Linked DNA regions of Sus scrofa. The protein of the gene in region 3 purifies or fractionates together with the protein of the main gene of each other region. This does not show direct contact. Links are inferred from orthologs where the notes say so. Each region holds a gene or a part of one and is shown on either strand. Other genes may lie near its edges.

Region 1 (4,344 bases), on a different chromosome or scaffold from region 3:
TGGAACTAGGGCCAAAGCAGTAAAAGCACCTAATCCCAACCATTAGACCATCAGGAACGCCCCTATATTGCTAACTTTCATGTAAAGGAAGACAAAATGAAAGGCTTTTCTATGGATACATATACGTTCGTAAAAGTATTAATAAAGGCTGCAGTGGTATCCACGGAATAGGTGATATTGGCTACCTTTAGAGTGAAGAGACTGAGTTTTGGGGTGGAAATCAAGGACACTTTCAGATTTTTTTCTGTAATTTTCTAATTGATTTTTCCTCCTTTTCCTCCTCCCTGCTCTTGCTCCTCCTTTTTCTCATTCTCCTCTCCCTCCTCCTTGAGTGGTTGGTGTTCCCATACCCAGTGGGTTATTAAAAAAACAAACCATAACAACAAAAGAGTTTATATTTAGTGCAATCTCCCTAAAAACCACATCCAAGGCAAATAATTTTCAAAGGAAAAGTAACTACCATTTATTTCATCGGAAAAATTTGTACCCTTCATGTTGTCCAGACATAAACCATACACACAGACAATAATGTGAACAGTTAAAATCAGTTTGCATAACCCGACCTAACAAGGTGGCTTCCCGTTAATATTTGATAGGTACATTTACCTGTTTTGTTTCAGCCCTTACATATCCTGCAGATAAAACTATGGACTCAAAGAAAATAAACATACTCTTGTATATTGCAAGTTTAATGTAAAAAAGCAAAGTAAGGCAAATTCATGAAAACAATGAAAATGACGTATGAGATTATCATCACTACAAACTAGCAAACTACAGGTACCCTGCGACAGCTGGAACACACGCCAGCCAGCTGAGGCCATGAACTTGGGCTCCTGGCTTCTTGCTAGGACGAAATCCATGGGAAAAAATGCCTCCTGAGCTCAATTAGGGGTAAAGGTCAATTCTCGGACCCCTAGTAGGTAGCGAGGTAGGTCGCTTGCCAAAGTAACATTTTAAGTCGTGTGGAAGGAGTGTAATCAACAGCTATTCCCTTTCCTGTATTTTTCGAATTTACACTTAAATGGGACTAGTCTAGGTCGTCAAAAGTCTAGGGTTTTAATTCTGCCACCAACGGACTTTAGTCAAATCACATTCTCATCCGTGAAACTGGGGTGAGGAGTTTGAATCTCCAAAATCTCCGTTACTTTTACTTGTTTTTCAGCCGAACAGGTGGAATATGGACGTTTCGGGGCCAGGGATGGAATCCCAGCCGCAGCTGAGACGTACCCCACATACTCTGTATTTTGCAGCTACGGCCAGGCGAGATCCTTAGCCTATTGCGCCCGACAGGGGGATCGAACCGCTACTCATCAGCGACCAGAGCGGTTGCGGAAAACAACGATCCCAGCTACGTTTAGAGCCAAATGAATAATCCCGCCTCCGGCAGTTTCGCCTAAGAACCATTTTGGCCTTCTCGGCTCACCGTCCGCGCAGCCTCCGGAAGCGATCTAAGCTCCGCCCCCTGCGCTCCGGACGGCGCGAAAACCCAATTGACAAGAATTCCCTGGGAAGCCCGCGGGTTGGGTCTACGTTTGGCCTGGTTTTCCCTCCGAGGTCCTGGGCCCGACGTCGGAATTGGAGTGTCCTCGTTGGAGGTACCCCCCACCGACCGCGCTACAGGGTCCTCTTCGCGCTTTCTCACCACCTCTTCCCGCGTTCGAGTCAGCTGAGCTCTCGGCCCAGCCTTTGCGACCACCCGGGCGGTGGACGCGGGGGGTTCCAGGCAGACCCCGCGGCCCAGCTTCTTGCTCCCGTTGGAGCAGGCTGCCTCCATGGCCTCCAGACAGGTCGGACCGGGCTGCGTAAGGTCCTAGGAGCTGGGATTCCGGGAAGCAGGGAGCATGGTGGGGTCCTGGCCATGGCGGCTGCAGCTGCCACCCCTCCGGTGAGGGATTACGAGATTGAGGTGAGCTTGAGTATCTCTATTTGTTGGAGGTGGGTGAAAGAGGGTTCTGATCTAGGATCTATGAGGGGAAAGAAGGGACCTGGTGAGGCCCCTTTGTTGTGTCTTTGGGTGGAACAGTCGCTGGAGTGTGTCCTAAAGCCGCGGTAGGTACCCATAAACATTAGGATTGAGGATGTTGAGGGGCCTAGTTAAGGACCAGTTTATAGATCCTGAAATGTTCCTGAAACTTGATAATTTGGACTAGTGAAATGTCATGGAGTCTTCCAGGGTCAAGTCTGGATAAGGAATCACAGAACTTTAGCGTGGAAAAGAATCTTTTTGTCCACCCACCTGTGCTAGGAATAGCACTTGGTGTGTCACTACAGGAATCAAACAAGGTACATAATTTAAAAATCACTTTCTCATTGCTCTAGAACTTAAGATACTGCAGGAAGAAGTCTCAGCTTGGTATGCTGTTTATTCTTATGTGTTCTAGTTTCAGTGAAATGCACTAAAGAGATTCTAATGTCATAAAGTAGTGGAGTATCATCAAGTAGACAATTTTGCTATATTTTCACACCTTTTCATCCCAAGCTAGCCTTGTAACTGACATATGCATACTGGTGTCATTGAAGTGAGCCAAGACATAGGTTCACTCACTGAACTGGGACTGTTTCTTACTTTTTAGTATTGAGTACTTTTGGGAGTTCCTGTTGTGGCTCAGTGGTAATGAACCTGTCTAGTGTCCATGGGGTTGCAGGTTCAATTCCTGGCCTTGCTCAGTGGGTTAAGGATCTGGCATGGCTGTGGCTGTGGTGTAGGCTGGCAGCTGCAGCTCCAGTTTGACCTCTGGCCCGGGAACTTTCATTTGCTGTAGGTGCGGCCCTAAAAAGCAAAAATAAATAAATAGAATTGAGTACTTTTTGCCTTCTTGTTAATATTTGTTATGCAGATGCTTGTTTGCTGGATCAAGGCAGTTGCTGGGTTTGTCTTGGGTGTGAAGAATTTTTGATAACTTGAATTACGCAATTCTTGCTTTTTGTTTGGTCAGTTTCTGAATCTTTTTGTTACAATTTCTTCTTTTGGTGCCCTGCTTAGAGTACTATTTCAGGGCACCAAATATTGTTTAGTATTGTGACAGTAAAGGCCTTATACACATTATTTTACCTAATAGCAATCCTGTGTTGAGGTGTTATTATCTGTATTCTAAAGATGAGAGAAAGTTAAGAATTAAAAGTTGAATTAAGGTAGAAAAATAAATTAGAAAATTAAAAGTAATTTGCTTAGGGTCCCATGCTGGTAGCTTTCAGAGCCAGCACTCAAACTTAGATCTGCTTGACTCCAGAGCCTCTGGTACCATCTCAGGATAATAATAATACTAACAACTCATTAGCATTTCTTCTAATACATTTACCATTTCATTTTAAGATGTAAAGTTTTAATCTGTCTCTCTTTTGCCTCATGTTTATCCAAATGGTTAGAAATTTGCCCCAATGCTATGTATTAACTTCTTTGCCCACTAACTTGAGTGTAACTATTGTTACATTTATATATACCAAAGTCTTAAATATACATGTATCCTTTTCTAGTTTTTGTGTCCATTCTGTTAAGTTGCCTGCCTATTCATGTCACACATTCTTTCTTTTTCTTTTTTTTTTTTTTTTTTTGGTCTTTTTAGGACTACCCACGGGATATGGGGGTTCCCAGGCTAGGGACTGAATCAGAGCTGTAGTCACTGGCCTACACCACAGCCACAGCAATGCCAGATCTGAGCCATATCTGTGATCTACACCACAGCTCACAGCAACACTGGATCCTTAACCCACTGAGCAAGGCCAGGAATTGAACCTGCATCCTCATGGATACTAGTCGGGTTCATTGTCACTGAGCCACAATGGGAACTCCTAAAGCTCTTTTTCCCCCTAGTATATCATGTATATCAACTAAGGGAAGCTTCCTTTTTTTGTCCCATTACATAAAATAATAGATCCATGTTTAACATTTATGTTTTGAACTCCATATGCCACGGGGTGCCTAAAAAAGAAAAAAATACAATAGAATAAAATAAAATTTATGTTTTGTAGTATTTTGCTTGAAATAAGTGCTTTTTCCTTCTTTTAAATTGATAGGCATGCAAGAAGCGAAGGAAAGATGATGACAGAACTTCTTGTAAAACAATTACAAAATATTTATCACCAGTCAGGAAAACTGGAGACAGGGTTTTCTCTCCACCAAAATCCAGTAACATTCTGGATTATTTTAGAAAGACTTCACCCACAAATGAGAAGACCCAGACAGCAAAAAAGTACAAGATAAAGTCATCCACACCATTGCCTGCTGACCGTGGCAAAGCCTGTAAAACACCTTTGGAAATGTCCTCAAATACAGAGTGTAAGAAGAGAGGAAAGAGGCTTAATTTATCTCCTCAACTAAATAGTATGAAACCTGAAAATGAATCT
Region 2 (3,649 bases), on a different chromosome or scaffold from region 3:
GAGATGAGGCCAAGTCTCTAATTGAGCGTTATGGGGGAAAAGTAACAGGAAATGTCAGCAAGAAAACAAACTACCTTGTCATGGGTCGTGATAGCGGTCAGTCCAAGAGCGGTAAGGTGGGTACTGCTGTGTTCTCAGCAGAGTGAAATAGCCTGCTTGCCTTGGCAGGGGCTTGCATGTGACCATTTGCAATAATGTCTTCTACATAGAATGAAATGAAAGAAAAACATGGAAAAGTAATTTCTTTCCTACATTATTTCTTCTCCACAGAAGTATTGTTTGGCTTCGACCCCAGGATTTTGGTTTTCCAGCTGAAGGCACAGTTCCTGTTTACTTGGCTGTCTTAGTGTACTGTTCTAGTTAAAATCTTTTTTTGAAGACAAGCAAATGCAGTTAGTTAGTCCTAAGTATTGCTATATGTGCTGCTTTGGACTCCATCTTGTTTTTTTATTGGAAGCGCTCTTTATTGGAAGGTGTGTCAGATAGGATTGCATTTAGTTCTAAGTGATAGAATACCTGACTTACTGTGGTTTTGACAAATAGCTGCTTATTTCCTTATCTTACAAGAGTTCTAGAGGTAGGCAGGTGCAGCAGCTCAGGGTTGTAAACTAGGCCAGTTCCCTTCTCCACTTCTGTCATCCTTATTGCGTAGCTTTAGTCTTCGCGCATGTTACCTTGTGTTGCAAGGTAGCTGCAGCTGTCAAGGTCACGTTCAAGGCAGGAAATAGGGAGCAGGTGTTGTACTAGCTGGGATTGAACTTATGAGAGTTTTCCCAGAAACACCTCTTGTAGAATTCCACTTAAGTCTCATTGGCCAGAGCATCACATAGCCATTCAGAGCTCTACGGGAGGTTGAGGAGGATGAGGACTTTGTTTTTTTGCTTTCCTTTTTTTTAGGGCCTCACCCAAGGCATGTGGAAGTTCTCAGGCTAGGAATCGAATTGGAGCTGTAGCTGCCAGCCTCTGCCACAGCCACAGCAACACCAAATCTGAGCCCCATCTGTGACCTATACCACAGCTCAAGGCAACACTGGATCCTTAACCCACTGAGTGAGGCCTGGGATGGAACCTGCATACTCATGGATACTAGTTGGGTTCATTTCCCCTGAGCCACGACAGGAACTCCTAGGACTTTTGTGATTCTTATAACTCATCACTTGGAGATGGACACATTGGTGTTCTGTCAGCAAGGGAGAAGGTGGGAGAGAATGTTTGCCAGCAGATCAACCCTGGGAGAAGGTGTGAAGAGCTGGAATAGGCCCTTGTGGCGCTGCCCTTTGTAGGGTATTGGAAAGGAAAAGCAGTCTGCAAAAGTGGTGTGTACATTTCAAGTGCCAATCCGCCACTCCTCGGGGAGGTATCTGTTATTTTCTTTCTTTTTAGTATTACTTTTTTTTCGTGAATATGGTTTTAAAAATATTCCAGTATTATGTAATTTATGAATGTTTTTTACCTCCTGACAAGTCTGAGAATCATTATATATATTTTTGCAGAAATTAATGGTTAGGATGTGGTTTTAATGATTTGCCTTTTCAATCAATAGGCAGCAGCCTTGGGAACAAAAATTATTGATGAGGATGGCCTATTGAATCTGATTCGAACTATGCCAGGCAAGAAGTCCAAGTATGAAATAGCAGTTGAGGCTGAGGTTTGTATGAAACTTTATTTATTTAAGTTGGTGTATAGCAACTTTCCTGTTTCATAGAGATATTTCTTGGATGGATACAGACCTCTGGGCTAAAAGACTTAATTTCTCATTCTATTGCAAATGAACTTCCTTATTTCCTTTTGAATTAATTTTTTTTTTAGGGCCACATCTCTGGCACATGGAAGTTCCTGGGCTAGGAGTTGAATCGGAGGTACCGCTTCTGGCCTACAGCACAGCCACAGCAATGCCAGATCTGAGCTGAGTCTACCACCTACACCACAGCTCAGGACAGTGCCGGATTCTTAACCCACTGAGTGAGGCCAGGGATTGAACCTTTATCCTCATGGATACTAGTTGGCTTTATTACCGCCGAGCCACAATGGGAACTCCCCCTTATTTCCTTTTGAACAGGGGGACTCTGCTTTAGGCTGTTGTCTTTGACATATTTCCTTACCTTTGTCAAAGGAGTATGAGGAGAGAAAGAGGATAATGTATTGCACTTGTCATATCTACTTATTAAACTGTTTTATTTTCCATATTCTTGGAATAACTGTACAAAGATTATTGCTCAAGAGTTCTTTAAAGAATATATTTTAGGTGTCAGCGGGATAAAATCATTTTCAGTTAGAACTGTATTAAGACTTTTTCAGTTGTAACAGGAACCCAGCCCTTATTAGCTTCAGCAGAAAGGGAAAAATTTGGACTCACATTGCTAAACCATGAGCAGAGTGAGTCTGATGTAGGAACTACTGACTGAGTCTACTGACTACAGTGCTTTTAGGGCCCTTTCAGTTTCTGTCTCTCTACTCCTAGTGTTAGCTTCATTCATTTCCCCTACATAAAAGTCTTTTCCATGTGTAAGATACAGAGGTGCCAGGAGCCCAAGTTAAATCTCCCCAGCTTTGTCACCCAAGTGGCAAGGTGGTATTTCCATTTATTCCAGTTAGGAAAAGCTTGGGGAATGATTTGGATTGGCCCGTCATCCCGTGTCCCCCAAGGCTAATGACTTACCTAACTACAGTGCAGTTATCAAAGCCAGGAAGTTAACATTGATACCACACTGTTAACTGAAGCTACATGTGATTTGAACTTCACCCCCCCACACACACACTGAGCTGCTTTTTTCGAGGATCTCACACTGCATTTAGCTGTATCTTCTTAGTCTCCTCCAGTCCATGATAGTTCCTCCAGTCTTTCCTTGTCTCTTCATGGCTTTGATTTGATGAGTAGAATGTCTCAGTGGGGCTGTTGTGGTTGCCTCATGATTAAATCAGGTGATGCCTTTTTGACTAGAAGACCACGTAAGTGTATTGTGTCCTCCTCAGTGCATCCTAGCAGCTGTGCTTAATGTCGATATATCTTATTACTGGTGATGTTAACTTTTACTACTCGGTTAAGAAGATTTTGGCCTGGTTTTCTGACCGGTAAAGTGACAGTTTTCCCCTCTATAATAAATATCTTGGGGAGATGCTTTAATACTATGCTAGGATCTTGTTTTTCCTCAATATTCACCCACTAATTTTAGCATCCACTCACCATGTTTTTTTTTTTTTTGAGACATTATTAATGCATCATAAAATCCACCCTTTTAAAGTGTATGCGTTGGTGGTTTTTAGTACATTCACAAGCTTGTACAGCCATCACTGTTGTCTCTTCCAGAACATCTCCTCACTCCTCCCTCAAACCCTGTACTGATTAGTAGTCACCTTTCATAACCATCTCCTGGCAACCACTGCTGTACTTTCTGTCCATGGATTTGCCTCTTCTGGATGTGTTGGATAAAGGAAAACATGTAATATATGGCCCTTTGTGTCTGGCTTCTTTCAGTTAGCATCATATTGTCAAGGTTCAGCTATGGTGAAGTGCTTTGGTGCTTCACTCCTTTTTATTGGTCATTAATGTTACATGGATATGTCACACTTTATTCAGTCATCAGTTGATGGTCATTTTGGGTTGTTTCCATTTTTTGCCTATAATAATATAATTGTTCATATAAAGTGT
Region 3 (3,649 bases):
AATGTACCAGCTGGTCGCCTTATACTACACTCAGTCCCCAAGGCCCTCCCCTTGCCCTACTTTCTAACATACTTACTTCTCTTCTTCTACAACATGTTCCAGGCGGGGAACCATGAGTTCAGGAGTCAGGGGGCCGAATCGGAACCTTGTACACCGCGACTGCAAGGCGGGAATGATCTTTGACAGATAGTTGCAGATGAGGCAAAATCTGGTATTTTCAGTAAATTTTTCAATCACTGGCAAGGGAAAAGAAAACTACCTCACATCCATTCGGAGTCTTCAAAGGACCCAGAAACCCAGAGGGTGTCCCTGGAGGGGGTCAAAGACTGGAAATCAGCCACTCTCTTTCCAGACCTGGTGAATGTGTCACCTCCTCAGGACTGTACAAAATGCTTCCTTTTCCATGGCTGGCCACGATTCTGGCACTCTTGCCATGCCATTCCATTAAGATAGGAAACCTAGTAATCCTGTCCTTTGGCATAAAGTTCTGTTTGGCAGATGGATGATGCTCCACCTTCTAGTGGGTGGGGGAGGGGGTGCTTTTTGTGGATTTCCCGGTGGACCTTGTCTCAAACCCTTAGAGCATTCAAGAGAGCGGTAACCCAGATTCAGAGATGCTTGTGACAGCGGTTTCATCCTGTAGCTACCAATATTCACAGGCTGGGACCTGTCCAGACAGACCCCCACACAACATGACGAAGGAAGGCTGCCAAAGCTTCTAGGACCAGAAGATATTCCTCCTCCTCCTCTTAAACATGGGCTGCTCTCCACTCCTCCCCAGAACCCCTAAAGATCTTCTCTCCTAGCTGTTTACTGCAGAATCTTCATGAGAGAGATTAAAAATGTACTTGCAGAGAAATTAAATGCACCAGGCACCTTAAGACTGACAAATCACAGTACACTCTCCCTCCTCTGCCACACCATTCTCTTGGAAAGGGTGAAGTAATGTCAGTTTTCTGAGTGCAACTAAATTTCTAGTATTTGTTCCCTGGCCATTTTGTATCTAAAGGTACCAGCAGCAGAGAGGCCTAGCCCATCAAACAATATAAATGCCCAACCCTAAAACTGACCGTAGTAGAAAAGGCAGATGAAACCCCAGTGTGTCATACCTTAAAGTCCCCAAAGGGCTTATGTCTTTAACCTACTGAGGGGTTACCCCTGATACAGAGATTTTTGTCTAGCTCATCAGGTGGGATACATGGTGAAAGGCATACAGAGATTTCTCTTGGCCAGAAGATGAATAAAAACTTGAAAGAAGCCACGTCCTACATCATGTCTAGAGTTCTTAATTCTTCCAAAGCATGCCTCAGCCAACACTGACACACACAGCAGTGCTCCTTACCTCTCCGCAAGGCGTTCTGGGCATCCTGAGTCATGGCATCAGCTTCATCCAAGATCACTAGTTTAAAGCCCTTCCTAGGAAAACAAATGGTACCACCTAAAGGTTTCTTCCATCTCACTTCGACTTCCAGGCCCAAACCTACACCTTCACATCTGTGCCATCAGGCCCTGTCTCAGAGTTCGTTTCTCTGAGAACTCTGACCAGAGCAGCCACCTGTGGTCACACGGAGCAAACACCCCATCCCTGCTTCAAATCTCAAAGAGAATGAACTCTAATTTCCGTATTTGTGTTAGACTATGTCCTCTGGCACCTCCATCTTTCTTCCCCAAAGGAGCCTATTGTTCCAGTGCTGCTTTCCCCTCCACCTTTACTTAAGCCTGTCTTCTCATCTTTTTCCTTTTTTTCCACCATCCTAGTTATCCACCCTGATCTCAGTTCACTTTGTTTAAATTCAAACTAGTTCATCCAGTTTGATGATGTAACCAGCCCTGTTAACTAATTAAGTGAAACTACTGCTTCCCCAGAGAACTTCTAATACAGATTTAGATAATATTTTACTTTAATATTTCTTACTACCATTCCTGTGCTTTTTCTCTTTTTCATGGCTGCTTTTGACAAAGTTTGCTTTCTTTTTTTTTTTAAACCTTTACAAACTGGCAAAGGAGAGAGTTTTAAAAATTAAACTCTATCATCTCACTGATCAAAATCTTTAGGGGGAGAAATTATGCAAAGAATTCTTACTTAAATATTGTCCTTGTGCTAGCAAAGCTCAGGATTGGTCCCCGAACGATATCTATTCCTCGGTCATCTGAAGCATTCAGCTAAATGTGAAAGAGAGAAGCCAGAATGAATAGAAAACATGTTGGTGTGCTATTCATGAATTACTGTATCTTTTCATCAGTCCTGTTCAGCAAGCTAGGTTTCAAGGTCTAAGGACAGATATGAGATAATCATTAAAAACAAGGTCACAATTATATTTAAGAATCACAACTCACTAGATCATTACTATATATTCTGAAAGGTAAATGACTTTCTTTCCTCCCCTTTTTGGGGACAATCACTGACAAGAGGAATAATTAATTGGTCCGGTCACAGTGAACAGCACTTCTGGCACATGCAGAATGATATAAATTTTAGCTACCACAAGCCAGAGCAACCCATACATTACCAAGTTTTTTAATACATGGAAGTAAGAACACTGGTAGCAGCAAGGTTCCAAGATCTTTAACAAAAAGGTAAGCTAAACTTTTTTTTGTACAATAGACAATATTTAGAATTTCATTATCTAAGTGTATCAATCTAGTCCCCATACTCAAATTCAGTAAATGAAGCAAATTAAATGAAGAGAGATTTTAAAAGGTGCTGGTGAGGGGAGTTCCTGTCGTGGCTCAGTGGTTAATGAACCTGACTAGTATCCATGAGGATGAGGGTTTGATCCCTGGCCTTACTCAGTGGGTTAAGGATCCGGTGGTGAGCCGTGGTGTAGGTCACAGACACGGATCGGATCCCGAGCTGCTGTGGTGTAGGCTGGTGGCTACAGCTCCAATTTGACCCCTAGCCTGGGAACTTCCATATGTCGTGGGTATGGCTCTGAAAAGACAAAAGACAAAAGACAAAAAAAAAAAAAAGAAGGTGCTGGTGAGGTGTGGGGAAACCACAAGGTCTATGTAATACTTCAGAGGCTAATGGAGCCCATCATTACCCCCAGGTCTAAAAGAGTTGGTGGGGAGTGGTGCTGGCACCTGGGGAGGGCTGAGTGCTGTGCCCTCCGGGTGGGGAAGCTATCAGCCTGTGGCGACCCCAGAGCAGGACCAGACATCATTTTCCTTTCCCCAACTCCTGCCAGGGCCCCCACTGGACCCAAACCTCACCAGGAGCCAGAGGGCAGGAGAGCTTGAAGTCAACAGACCTGAGACTTCCAGGGCAAGAACAGGGCGGAGCAACATGGAGAAGGGATTGGGGGTGGGGTGGGGTGGGCGCACAGGAGAGGGCCAGCAACTCAGTGACCATTGAGTGTTTGGGTAAAAGTTGGCAAGAGCAAAGAAAAACACCTAGCCCTACCACTGTCCTCTAGTTAATACCAATCGAGGCCAAAATGTCAAAGAAAAAACTGAACTGAAATATCTTATGTCTGCTTCTTTCCCAACCACCAGCAGAGCAACTAACTCGTAACATAAAACAAAACTAGAAGAAGAGTTCCTGTTGTGGTGAAGCAGAAACGAATCCAATTAGGAACAATGAAGTTGCAGGTTCGATTCCTGGCCTCACTCAGCGAGTTAAGAATCTCGAGTTGCTGTGAGCTGTGGT

What was found.
Region 1: the proteins of RFC5 (region 3) and ATAD5 purify together in Homo sapiens (affinity purification with mass spectrometry; 4 studies listed by BioGRID and IntAct, counting the BioPlex papers as one, with this or other methods). This does not show direct contact. The link is inferred for Sus scrofa from reciprocal best matches to the Homo sapiens genes RFC5 and ATAD5.
Region 2: the proteins of RFC5 (region 3) and RFC1 purify together in Homo sapiens (co-immunoprecipitation; 6 studies listed by BioGRID and IntAct, counting the BioPlex papers as one, with this or other methods). This does not show direct contact. The link is inferred for Sus scrofa from reciprocal best matches to the Homo sapiens genes RFC5 and RFC1.

What each region holds. Positions count from the first base shown.
Region 1 is NC_010454.4:42,917,544-42,921,887, reverse strand, and holds the start of ATAD5 (ATPase family AAA domain-containing protein 5), read left to right. Parts: upstream 1-1,449; 5' UTR 1,450-1,858; coding exon 1,859-1,906; intron 1,907-4,014; coding exon 4,015-4,344. UniProt on the Homo sapiens protein: Has an important role in DNA replication and in maintaining genome integrity during replication stress.
Region 2 is NC_010450.4:30,573,425-30,577,073, reverse strand, and holds part of RFC1 (replication factor C subunit 1), read left to right. Parts: coding exon 1-116; intron 117-1,543; coding exon 1,544-1,648; intron 1,649-3,649. UniProt on the Homo sapiens protein: Subunit of the replication factor C (RFC) complex which acts during elongation of primed DNA templates by DNA polymerases delta and epsilon, and is necessary for ATP-dependent loading of proliferating cell nuclear antigen (PCNA) onto primed DNA.
Region 3 is NC_010456.5:34,636,058-34,639,706, forward strand, and holds part of RFC5 (replication factor C subunit 5), read right to left. Parts: intron 2,164-3,649; coding exon 2,084-2,163; intron 1,417-2,083; coding exon 1,343-1,416; intron 237-1,342; coding exon 77-236; intron 1-76. UniProt on the Homo sapiens protein: Subunit of the replication factor C (RFC) complex which acts during elongation of primed DNA templates by DNA polymerases delta and epsilon, and is necessary for ATP-dependent loading of proliferating cell nuclear antigen (PCNA) onto primed DNA.